Linked DNA regions of Sus scrofa. The protein of the gene in region 1 purifies or fractionates together with the protein of each later gene. This does not show direct contact. Links are inferred from orthologs where the notes say so. Each region holds a gene or a part of one and is shown on either strand. Other genes may lie near its edges.

Evidence for each region.
Region 2: the proteins of MEX3C (region 1) and AP2A1 purify together in Homo sapiens (affinity purification with mass spectrometry; 3 studies listed by BioGRID, with this or other methods). This does not show direct contact. The link is inferred for Sus scrofa from reciprocal best matches to the Homo sapiens genes MEX3C and AP2A1.

The regions. Positions count from the first base shown.
Region 1 is NC_010443.5:100,677,100-100,680,857, forward strand, and holds the end of MEX3C (RNA-binding E3 ubiquitin-protein ligase MEX3C), read right to left. Parts: intron 2,584-3,758; coding exon 1,358-2,583; 3' UTR 1,353-1,357; downstream 1-1,352. UniProt on the Homo sapiens protein: E3 ubiquitin ligase responsible for the post-transcriptional regulation of common HLA-A allotypes. Binds to the 3' UTR of HLA-A2 mRNA, and regulates its levels by promoting mRNA decay.
Region 2 is NC_010448.4:54,820,248-54,825,277, reverse strand, and holds the end of AP2A1 (AP-2 complex subunit alpha-1), read right to left. Parts: intron 4,721-5,030; coding exon 4,664-4,720; intron 4,559-4,663; coding exon 4,476-4,558; intron 4,374-4,475; coding exon 4,284-4,373; intron 2,993-4,283; coding exon 2,869-2,992; intron 2,775-2,868; coding exon 2,658-2,774; intron 2,553-2,657; coding exon 2,483-2,552; intron 2,280-2,482; coding exon 2,145-2,279; intron 1,815-2,144; coding exon 1,737-1,814; 3' UTR 1,372-1,736; downstream 1-1,371. Other genes in the region: FUZ (protein fuzzy homolog), read left to right, coding at 1-42, 120-194, 1,118-1,341.

The DNA.
Region 1 (3,758 bases):
ATAATATGCCATCAAGGCAATTTTTTATACTGAAAAAATCAAAATAAAAACCGTTATTTGTAAACTTTTATACGAAATGTAACTCTTCAAGTGGAAATAAAAAATAAAATTTGTCTATTTACTATTCAATACACATAGGATTTCAATTTTTGTTATACTGAGAAAAAAAGCTCTTTTGTGTTGGGAAAATAACGCTTCAAAAAATAATTAGTAGAAAAACCCACCAGTACAATGTTTTGTCCATTCAATGCCAGCACAGATTTGGGAACATACTGAGGATGAAGTCACAGACATCCACAGGTGAAATGTAAAAGTGTATCTTAAATAAATCTTTCCTGTGATTGGAAATAGTTTTGAAATGAAGTAAACTGATTGGAGGTCGTCACAGCTGCTTTTGTGAATTATGTTAAGGGCATTATTACCCCTCTCTCCCCCCTCCCCAAAATTACTAAAAAATAAAAATATATTTATAATGTGCAAGACAAATATGGATTGAACATAAAATGTTTCACATTTTGATCTAGAGTCTAAAAATTAATCAATAGCTTGATCAGACTAATGAATGGAATGTTCACATCCTCGATTAGCCAATATAGGTGCATCCCAAAGCCCTTCCTGCAATGGAAAAACCCAGGTGGCCATTTCCATATTCACCGAGGGAGGCAATGGGTAGGAATTCACAATCGACACAATTGCATTCCTGATCCACTGATCACACCAGCCGTGAGCACTCTGGGCGAGATGAAGGTCAATGTAGCAGTTTTTGTCCCAAATTATAACCAGTGATTGAGTAAACTGCCATCAGCCCTATTATTACCAATAATTAATCACAATGCATTAAAAAGTTACTTGCAATCCTGCAGAATTAGGCATAAGTTGTTGTAAAATAAAAAACAAACAAACCTGTTTTGTCAAAACTGGCAGTGTAAAGAAGGCAGCACTGGAAGTGTCTGAATCATCTGTAATGCCAAGTACCCTCCATAAACTCTTAATGTGGTTAGGCTTTGGGACCCATCGTTTTGAAATCTTAGACGTATACACTTTTCTCATAGGGTCACACAACCTATGATTATCTTCACTCAGCCGAGTTGAACGTCAGCTTTAGCAATTCTTACACAAGCTATGTCTCTGCGTCTACAAGATAGTATTAATAATTCAAACCAAACTAATAGACAAGAGACCACTTAGGTTTAGTGTTACCATAGCAGCCTTTTATAAGTTTACTAACAACTTTAGCCTAATCCCAATAAAGCCTGATAACAGTCATAAGAATTCATTAGGAAGTTTACTGGGGGTACCATTATACCCATGCCTTTACGAGTCCATATAGATATAGTATTTATGTATATATATATAGTTAAGAGTGAATTTGGATTGCCTGAGTAACAGCTGTCTGGCAAACTGGACATGATGGCGTTCTCTTTTCACAGATCTTGTTGGCACATTCCATGCAGAAGAGGTTGTGGCCACATGGAACTAGGGCAGCAATAACTTCATTCTCAAAGCAAATCACACAGTCGTGCTTTCGTCTTGATTCTGGAGGTGAGCTAGAGGTGGAGCCACCATTGGAAGAGGAGTAACTATTGGTACCATTAGAAAAAGCAGGGATGTATATTGGAAGGCCAACATGGTTGCCTGTACTAGGTGGGTCGCTCCTAACCCTCCGAGCAAGTGGGTGTTCAATGCTCTCAGGAAATGTAGGAGACAGACGAGGAGTTGATGGCTGACTTCCTCTACGCTGAGTCTTCATGTTACCAGGAGGATCACTCCCAAAGCCAGAGAGTGGATTAACTGGTTCAAACGGAGTCCAGATAGTTTGAGTGGGTGTTGGTAAAGAGTCAAAGGCAGGAGAATCAACCGCGAGATCTTCTGAGCCTACAGAAGGTAGTGTATCTCCAAACCAAAAGTTTCCTGTGCTAAATGGGCTTGTTGGACTAAAGTCAGCCAGCCTATTGCTTCCAAAGTAGGAATCTGTGGAACCACTTCCCAGAGAACTGGAACTATCGTTTCGATAATTGGATATCATTCTGGCGCGGCTGGGAGGAACTGGATTGGAGGAAAGCCATGCAGAGCCAAGAGTGCCACCTTCAAAGCTTACATCAGTACCGTTATAATGGAAATCATTCTCTTCATTGAGCTCAATGTAGTTTCCTGTACGCATGGCAATATGCATTTCTATTTCTTCTCGTGCTCGGTCAACATTCTCGGGCATCCCTGTCACTTCAAAGACAGGTTCCTTATCTCTGCTCGGTGTTACTATGTAGGTGTGGGTCTGCTGCTGAATTCTTTTAATAGTTGCTCCTTTGGGTCCAACTACTAATCCTACCACACGATAGGGGACCCTGACTTGAACGGTGGTTTGACCGGGCAGATTAGGACTACATGACAACCCTCCCAGGGCCGGGCCATTTTTGTTTCGAGATGCACGAATCATGGAGAAGTGCTCTGCAGCTGAGAGGATTTCTCTTTTGGCCATGGCAACATCTTCTTTCCGCCCAGTGACAACAAAAATGGGCTCTTCACCACGAACAGGCGTCTTGATGTACGTGTTCGTCTTGGCTCTCAGCGCTTTAATTTTACAACCTGTTAGAAAGAAAAGATTTCATTAGAATCAACACCTACTTCAACAATATTGATAAAGGCAAATCAGAGAGAGATCCTTTTAACCTAAGAGTCTGCAGTTTTCCCCCTTTTAGAGTTTTTTTTCTTTATTAGAAAAACTTATCACTATATAATAAAACTTTCCTAACTTCACTAAGACGCCTAGATCCTGAACTACACCCTTCTGGGGATCCCTCTACTAGAGGTTTTAAACTAAGAGGATTATTGTTTTCTCTCTCTCGTTATTAACCATTGCAAATGATGCAGGAATACTCTATATAGGATAGCTACACTATGAGTGGGCTGACTTTCAGAATACTAACAGTTTACTACCTTGCAGGGTGTTGGTGGCAAAGAAAAACCGGTAACGTGTATGTGAGACATTTAATATCTATTGTCTTATTTAACCTACACAACAACCCTAAGAATGAGACTACTGCACTCCTTTTATTGCTAAGGAAAATGAAGTACAGAAAAAAATGTATATAACTTGTCCAAGTTCACACAGCTAGTAAAAGGCACATCCAGAGTTAAATCTAGTCTGACTTTAAAAGTTATAGTGTTTTGTTAGTTCAAGAACCTCCAATTTCACACAACTACACTATATGATAAAAGTTCTTCAACTGATTCCCACTTAATTGTCTTATCATTTTACCTTATCATTACCTTTCCCTCTGTACAGTTCAACTGATGATAAGAGCAAAGTGCTCAAGGCTAGTAGATTGTCTCACTTCTGTTCATCAGCTGGATTTCCGGCTTATTAAAAATCAGCTCTTTCTCCCCAAATCTGTTTATACTAACTGTACTCATGTGCTAAATTATTACATGAACCAGTAACATATGAATGCAAAAAGACACTGAACTAGTATGAAAATTATTTTTAGAAATTTCAATAAAGGATGAGTAAAGAAAAAAAAAAGATGCTGTTGGATGGGACAACTGTAAAATCCTAGGGTAAAAAAAACTAACACAGAATAATTTTGCACTCACTGTAAAGTTCTTGTGAAATTCAAAAGAAACATACTGGAAACTACAGAATATGGCCGTTGGACATGGTTTTATTGAAGGACCACGCTGGCTGGCAGCCCCATTCTCAAATAAAAGGCTTGGGCTCTAAATTCTAAGTACATTTAAGTTAAAATATCGAAGACACATAT
Region 2 (5,030 bases), on another chromosome or scaffold:
TGAAACGTTGCCTCTTCACTGTGGAGCTGTCGGGGGATAAAGGTGACAGAAGGCGGGGCCGGGAGGGATGTGGGCTGGGGAGGGGCTCTCGGTTACCCCCGTCTCTCTTACTCCTTCAGAACCATCTCCTGGGCAGCGGCGGCGCCTCCTCCGCTCCTTCTACACCCTGGTCACTGCCACGTACTTCCCACCAGGTCAGCGGCGGGCACAGCACCCGCTTTGCATGCGCAGGCTGGGACCCCGAGTCCCAGGCCTCACGAGGTGGGGGTAGGCTGTGGGGGTGCGGAACGTGGTAGGAGAAGCCGGTAGGAATTGGGCAGGGGAGGAGCTGGGAGGTCCCAGCCTGTAGGTTGGGTTATCCTGATTTAACGCTGAGACCTCATCTCCTGCCAAGTGCTTTTCTGTGTATTGCCTCGCTTCATCCTCATTAATCAATAATCAGTCTCCTTTTAATCATCATTCCCGTATTGCAGACAAGGAAGCAGGCTCAGCTAATTAGCAGTAGAGCCACGATTCAAACCCAGGCGGCCTGGCTCCCACATCCACACAGTCTACTCTGAAAGTACAGGGTCTGCTGAGAGTCTTGGGTGGAGGAAGGGTAGGAGAGTCCACAGAGCCCAGGTCCTGATGGAAAAGTTGTCGCCTAGAACCTGTGAGGCCCAGTGAGACGCAGGAAGGGAACTAGAGCGGAAACTCAGCCCCAGAGGGGACTCTGATGAATGTAACAAAATGGTGAAAAGCACTGGGCTGTGCGACTCCACCTACCCCACCACTTCCCAAGTGTAGTTGGGCCGGGTCCTCAGGAGGGTTACCAGGGCTTGGAGCCTGGTGCCTGTCACCAGAGAAACATCTCCTGCGCATCCGTGATCTGTATTGCCAAGGGGATCGCCTGGCGCTTGCATACACAGGATCGCCAGGAAAGTGGGGGACGGAGGCTGGGTAGGAAGAGGGCAGAAAGTCCGTGACCTCTTAGGTCCTGACAGCCAGCTGGAGCTGTGGGGCTCCCCTCTGTCAGGAGTCAAACTTGGGCCCAAGATGGGGGAGACTCCCACGCAGGTTGGCATCCTAGGGGTCCAGGCCCCACTGGTCACCCCAGCCCTCCCTGTCTTTCCTTCAGAGCCCGGGCAGCCAGAGAAGGTGGAGGAGGCGGTCCACCGGGCCCAGGTGCCGAGAGCCTGCTACCTGGTGTCGGGGCCTGAGGAGCCGGGCATCGGATGGCGGCTGGTGGCCCTGCAGTTGGGGCCACGGCGGCTGCTGCTGCTGCTGTCTGCTCAGAGTCCCACGCACGGGCTTCGGGGCCTGGCCACCCACACCCTGCATGCCCTCACCCCGCTCCTCTGAGCGCCAGACACAGACACGCACACGGGGCTATTAGCGTCTCTCTGTTTATTCGCTCACAATAATACACAGCCCCTGGATGGGGAGGGGGCAGGAGGGGCTACCGGGGGGTGGGGTGGGAGGGGAGGAGGTGCCCACTTCCCTGGCCCCTCTCCCCTCTGTGCTTCGGGGGGGGGGGAAGGGAGGAAGGGGGCTCCCCCTTACCCCCCAGAATGTAAACAGCAGCAGATGAACAAAAATAAAAATACAAAAGGCCAGAGGAAGGTCCTAGGCATCCCCCCACCCCAGGGTCTTCCCTGTCACCAGCGGAGGTCCCCTTACTGCCCCATCCACCACAGCTGCCTCAGTCCTGGGGGCTGCCCGGCACCGGCCACATCTCCGGGGGCACAGTCCAGGGCTCAGAACTGCTGGGCCAGCAGCTCACACAGGTGACGGGAGACGGGCTCCTTGCTGGTGCGCAGGGTCAGCCGGTACATCTGGTGGGGACAGTGGGACTCAGGGAGGTGGCAGAGGGATGGTGCAGGTAGCTCCTCCCCCAAGAGGAGGAGGAAGAGGGGGATACAGGGCAGATAAATGATGAGAGAAAAAGGATAAAGGGATCAGAAAGGTGACATAAAGGACCGGGGTGACAGGAGGTACAGGATGAAAGATAAGAGGTCAAGAAGAGTGGAGAGGCTGTGGGGAGATGCAAATCAGGGAGGATGGAGAGACAGGAGGGGCACGGGGACACATGACTTAAAGGACAGAGTGAGGCAGGAGGACGGGGTGCAGAGAACATAGCAGGGGCCTCCCAGACCACCACGCACCTGAGCCTGGGCGTTGGGCTCCAGCCGCAGCAGACAGCCCACCTGCAGGGCTTTAGTCTGGATGATCCCAGCCCCCACGAAGTTCTCAGGGTTGGGATCCACGTTGTCCAGGAGCGCAGAGCCAAACCCCAGGAGCTGGGGAGGAAGTGGGTGGCCGTCAGAGGGTGCCCGGGCTTTGTTAGCTCCCAGACAGTGACACACCAAATCCCCCCAGACCCTCCTGGGGAAACAGAAGCTCAGAGAAGCTGAGCGGCCGCCACTCCCCAAATCCCAGACCTTGAGAGAGGTGGGGCTGGGGTGTGAGCCCAGCAGGGCCTCTCCTGTCTTGCCTGGCTCACCTTGGCCTTAGTGACCTCCGCGTCCATGGGGTGGTTGGCTTTGAAGATTTTCTGCGCCTCCTGTTGGGGTCTGGGGGCCGGGAAAGGTTCAGGTCGGGGATCGGAAGCCCCCGCCCTGCCCCTCCCCGAGGGCGGCCCCGGCCCTGGCCCCCCGGCCCCGCCGCCCGTGGCTCACAGGCTCAGCTGCTTCCAACGCTGGAAGAAGTCCTGGGCCGCCATCTCCGTCGGCTGGAAGAACTTGTTGATGGTCACCGGGAGCTTCAGGGTGAGGGACTGGGGGGCGCCCCCATACCTGCGGGGAGACGCGGGGAGAGCGGCCTCGGGTTAGACCACGCCCTCGCCCGGAAAGCCCCGCCCACCAGCCAGCGCCCCGACTCCCGACTCACCGGAAGCGCACGGACAGGAGCGGGGGCGTCAGGAAGTCCCGCAGACACTCGATGTTGAGCACCTGCTGCACCTGAGCCCCGCCGTCCACCTGCGAGGCCACCCGCTTGGTCTGCACGGCCAGCTGTGCCGGTGGTCAAGGAAGCCAGAAGCGGCACGGGACGGGGTCTTCGCCATAATCGTTCAGAACACTCAGCCCCAGCCTGCAGGCCTCTGAGAGTCCCTACCCTGCCGTCCCGGTCTCATCCTCCAAGGCCCGGCTCCACACCAAACCAGGGACCCACCCCCCTAGGTGCCTCCTCTGACTTTCCATATTGGGCTCAGACGCCTCCGTTTCTGCAGAGGTCACGCCCGTAGTGCAACTGGAGATCCTCTGTGGCTCTAAAGGCTGACCCGGGTTTGAAGCCCAGCTCTTACCACCTTGGTGACCGTGGGCAAGTCACTTAACCTATCTTAGCCTCATCTGCAAAATGAATTCAGTGTCCCCAGCATTCAATGAAATAATCCAGCATGAGTGCTTGTCAGTGTGTTTGGCACGTGGTAAGTCCACAGAAATAGTGGTAGTTATCACCCTCTGCCTTTATGTCAACAACCCAAAGGCAAGGGTGTCCCTGACTCCCCATCCAGCACAGAGCTGAGCCTACAGGGGCCATACGGAAATTTTTTTTTTTTTGTCTTTTTAGGGCCACCCGAGGCATATGGAGGTTCCCAGGCTGGGGGGTGAATTGGAGCCACAGCTGCTGGCCTACGCCACAGCCACAGCAATGCCAGATCCTTAACCCACTGAGCGAGGCCAGGGATTGAACCTGTGTCCTCAAAAATACTAGTCAGATTTGTTTCCGCTGAGCCACGACGGGAACTCCCTGGAAACGTTGATGAATTAAACAAACGGAAAATGTCCTTGGATTGGGGGCACTATCCACTAGTTTTCCAGCTGTGGGAACTGAGCACCAGAGGATGGGAGAGAGGGGGCTGACTGCTCAAGCGCTTCCTTTACGACAGCCACCCTGCCAGGGCTTTCCAACCACACCGATCTTCAAAACAAGCCTGGGAGAAAGAAGAGGAGAATCCACACTTCACAGAAGGGATAGCAAGGCTCAGAGAGGCCAAGGGACTGGCCCAGGGCACACAGGAGAAGGCCCTGGTCAGCATCAAGACCCCCAGGCCTGGCTAGCCAGGGCAGGAAGGGCTGGGATCATGGGTGTGGAGCCATGGGACGTGGTCAGGGGGTTCCGGAAGCAACACCTCCCGCATCCCTATCACATCACATCACGGTCGCCTCCTGTCCCGGGAGAGAGGCCCGCCCCACCTGACAGATAACACCAGATCTCAGAGAAGTACCATGTACTCAGGCTCTGGAGGAAGAGGGCCCAACAGGGGTCTGGAACCAGGGAACCAGGCCAGACCAAGAGGATATGAGCCTGGAGGTCTCCGGGGTGGACGACAGTGGGCGAGAAGTTCTGGAACTGCACCGAAGTCTTGTTGCCGTAGAAGAGATACATGCGGCCTGTGAGGGGTGGGGCGGGGGAGGGCTCCATCTGAGTTCTTTCCACCCCCTCCCCAGGCCAAGGTCTCCCCGAAACCCTACCCCATCCCTCCCTGGACGCACCCAAGTTCTGCCGGAACTCAGACTTGACGCCGATCTGCAGCAGCTGGTTCTCAAACAGGACCCCGTTGTTCCTGCACACGAACCTGGGTGGGGGCGGTGGGGGCTCGGGATGACGAGTGCCCCCCTGAACCCTGCTTTGTGCTCCCCTCTTGTCCCCACTGCCCTCTCCAACCTCGCCCACGACTCACTTATTCAGCAGTTCATCGGCTTCCGGGATGGGCGGGCCGATGTCCTCAGGACCTGGGCTGCAGGTGGGAGAGGAGGGAGATGGGAGGGGGCCGGGGGGCAGGGGGGCTAGAGGTAAAGGCCCAGAGCTAGTGGTGGGATAATAGCAGGTCCTGAAGGGACAGAATCCCAGAATCCATATGCCCAGATTCTCCCAAGAGCCCCAAAGTCAGACTGGCAATGGGAACAGGACCCTGGCAGGTGCCATCACCCCCGACCCCCTGTACCAGAGGGCCCCGATTATCACTCCCCTCCAAGTCTTGCCTCCACAAGGCATCAGGAACCCCGTGACCAGCGCTCCCGGTCCCCTAACCCTCCCTGGGGACACAA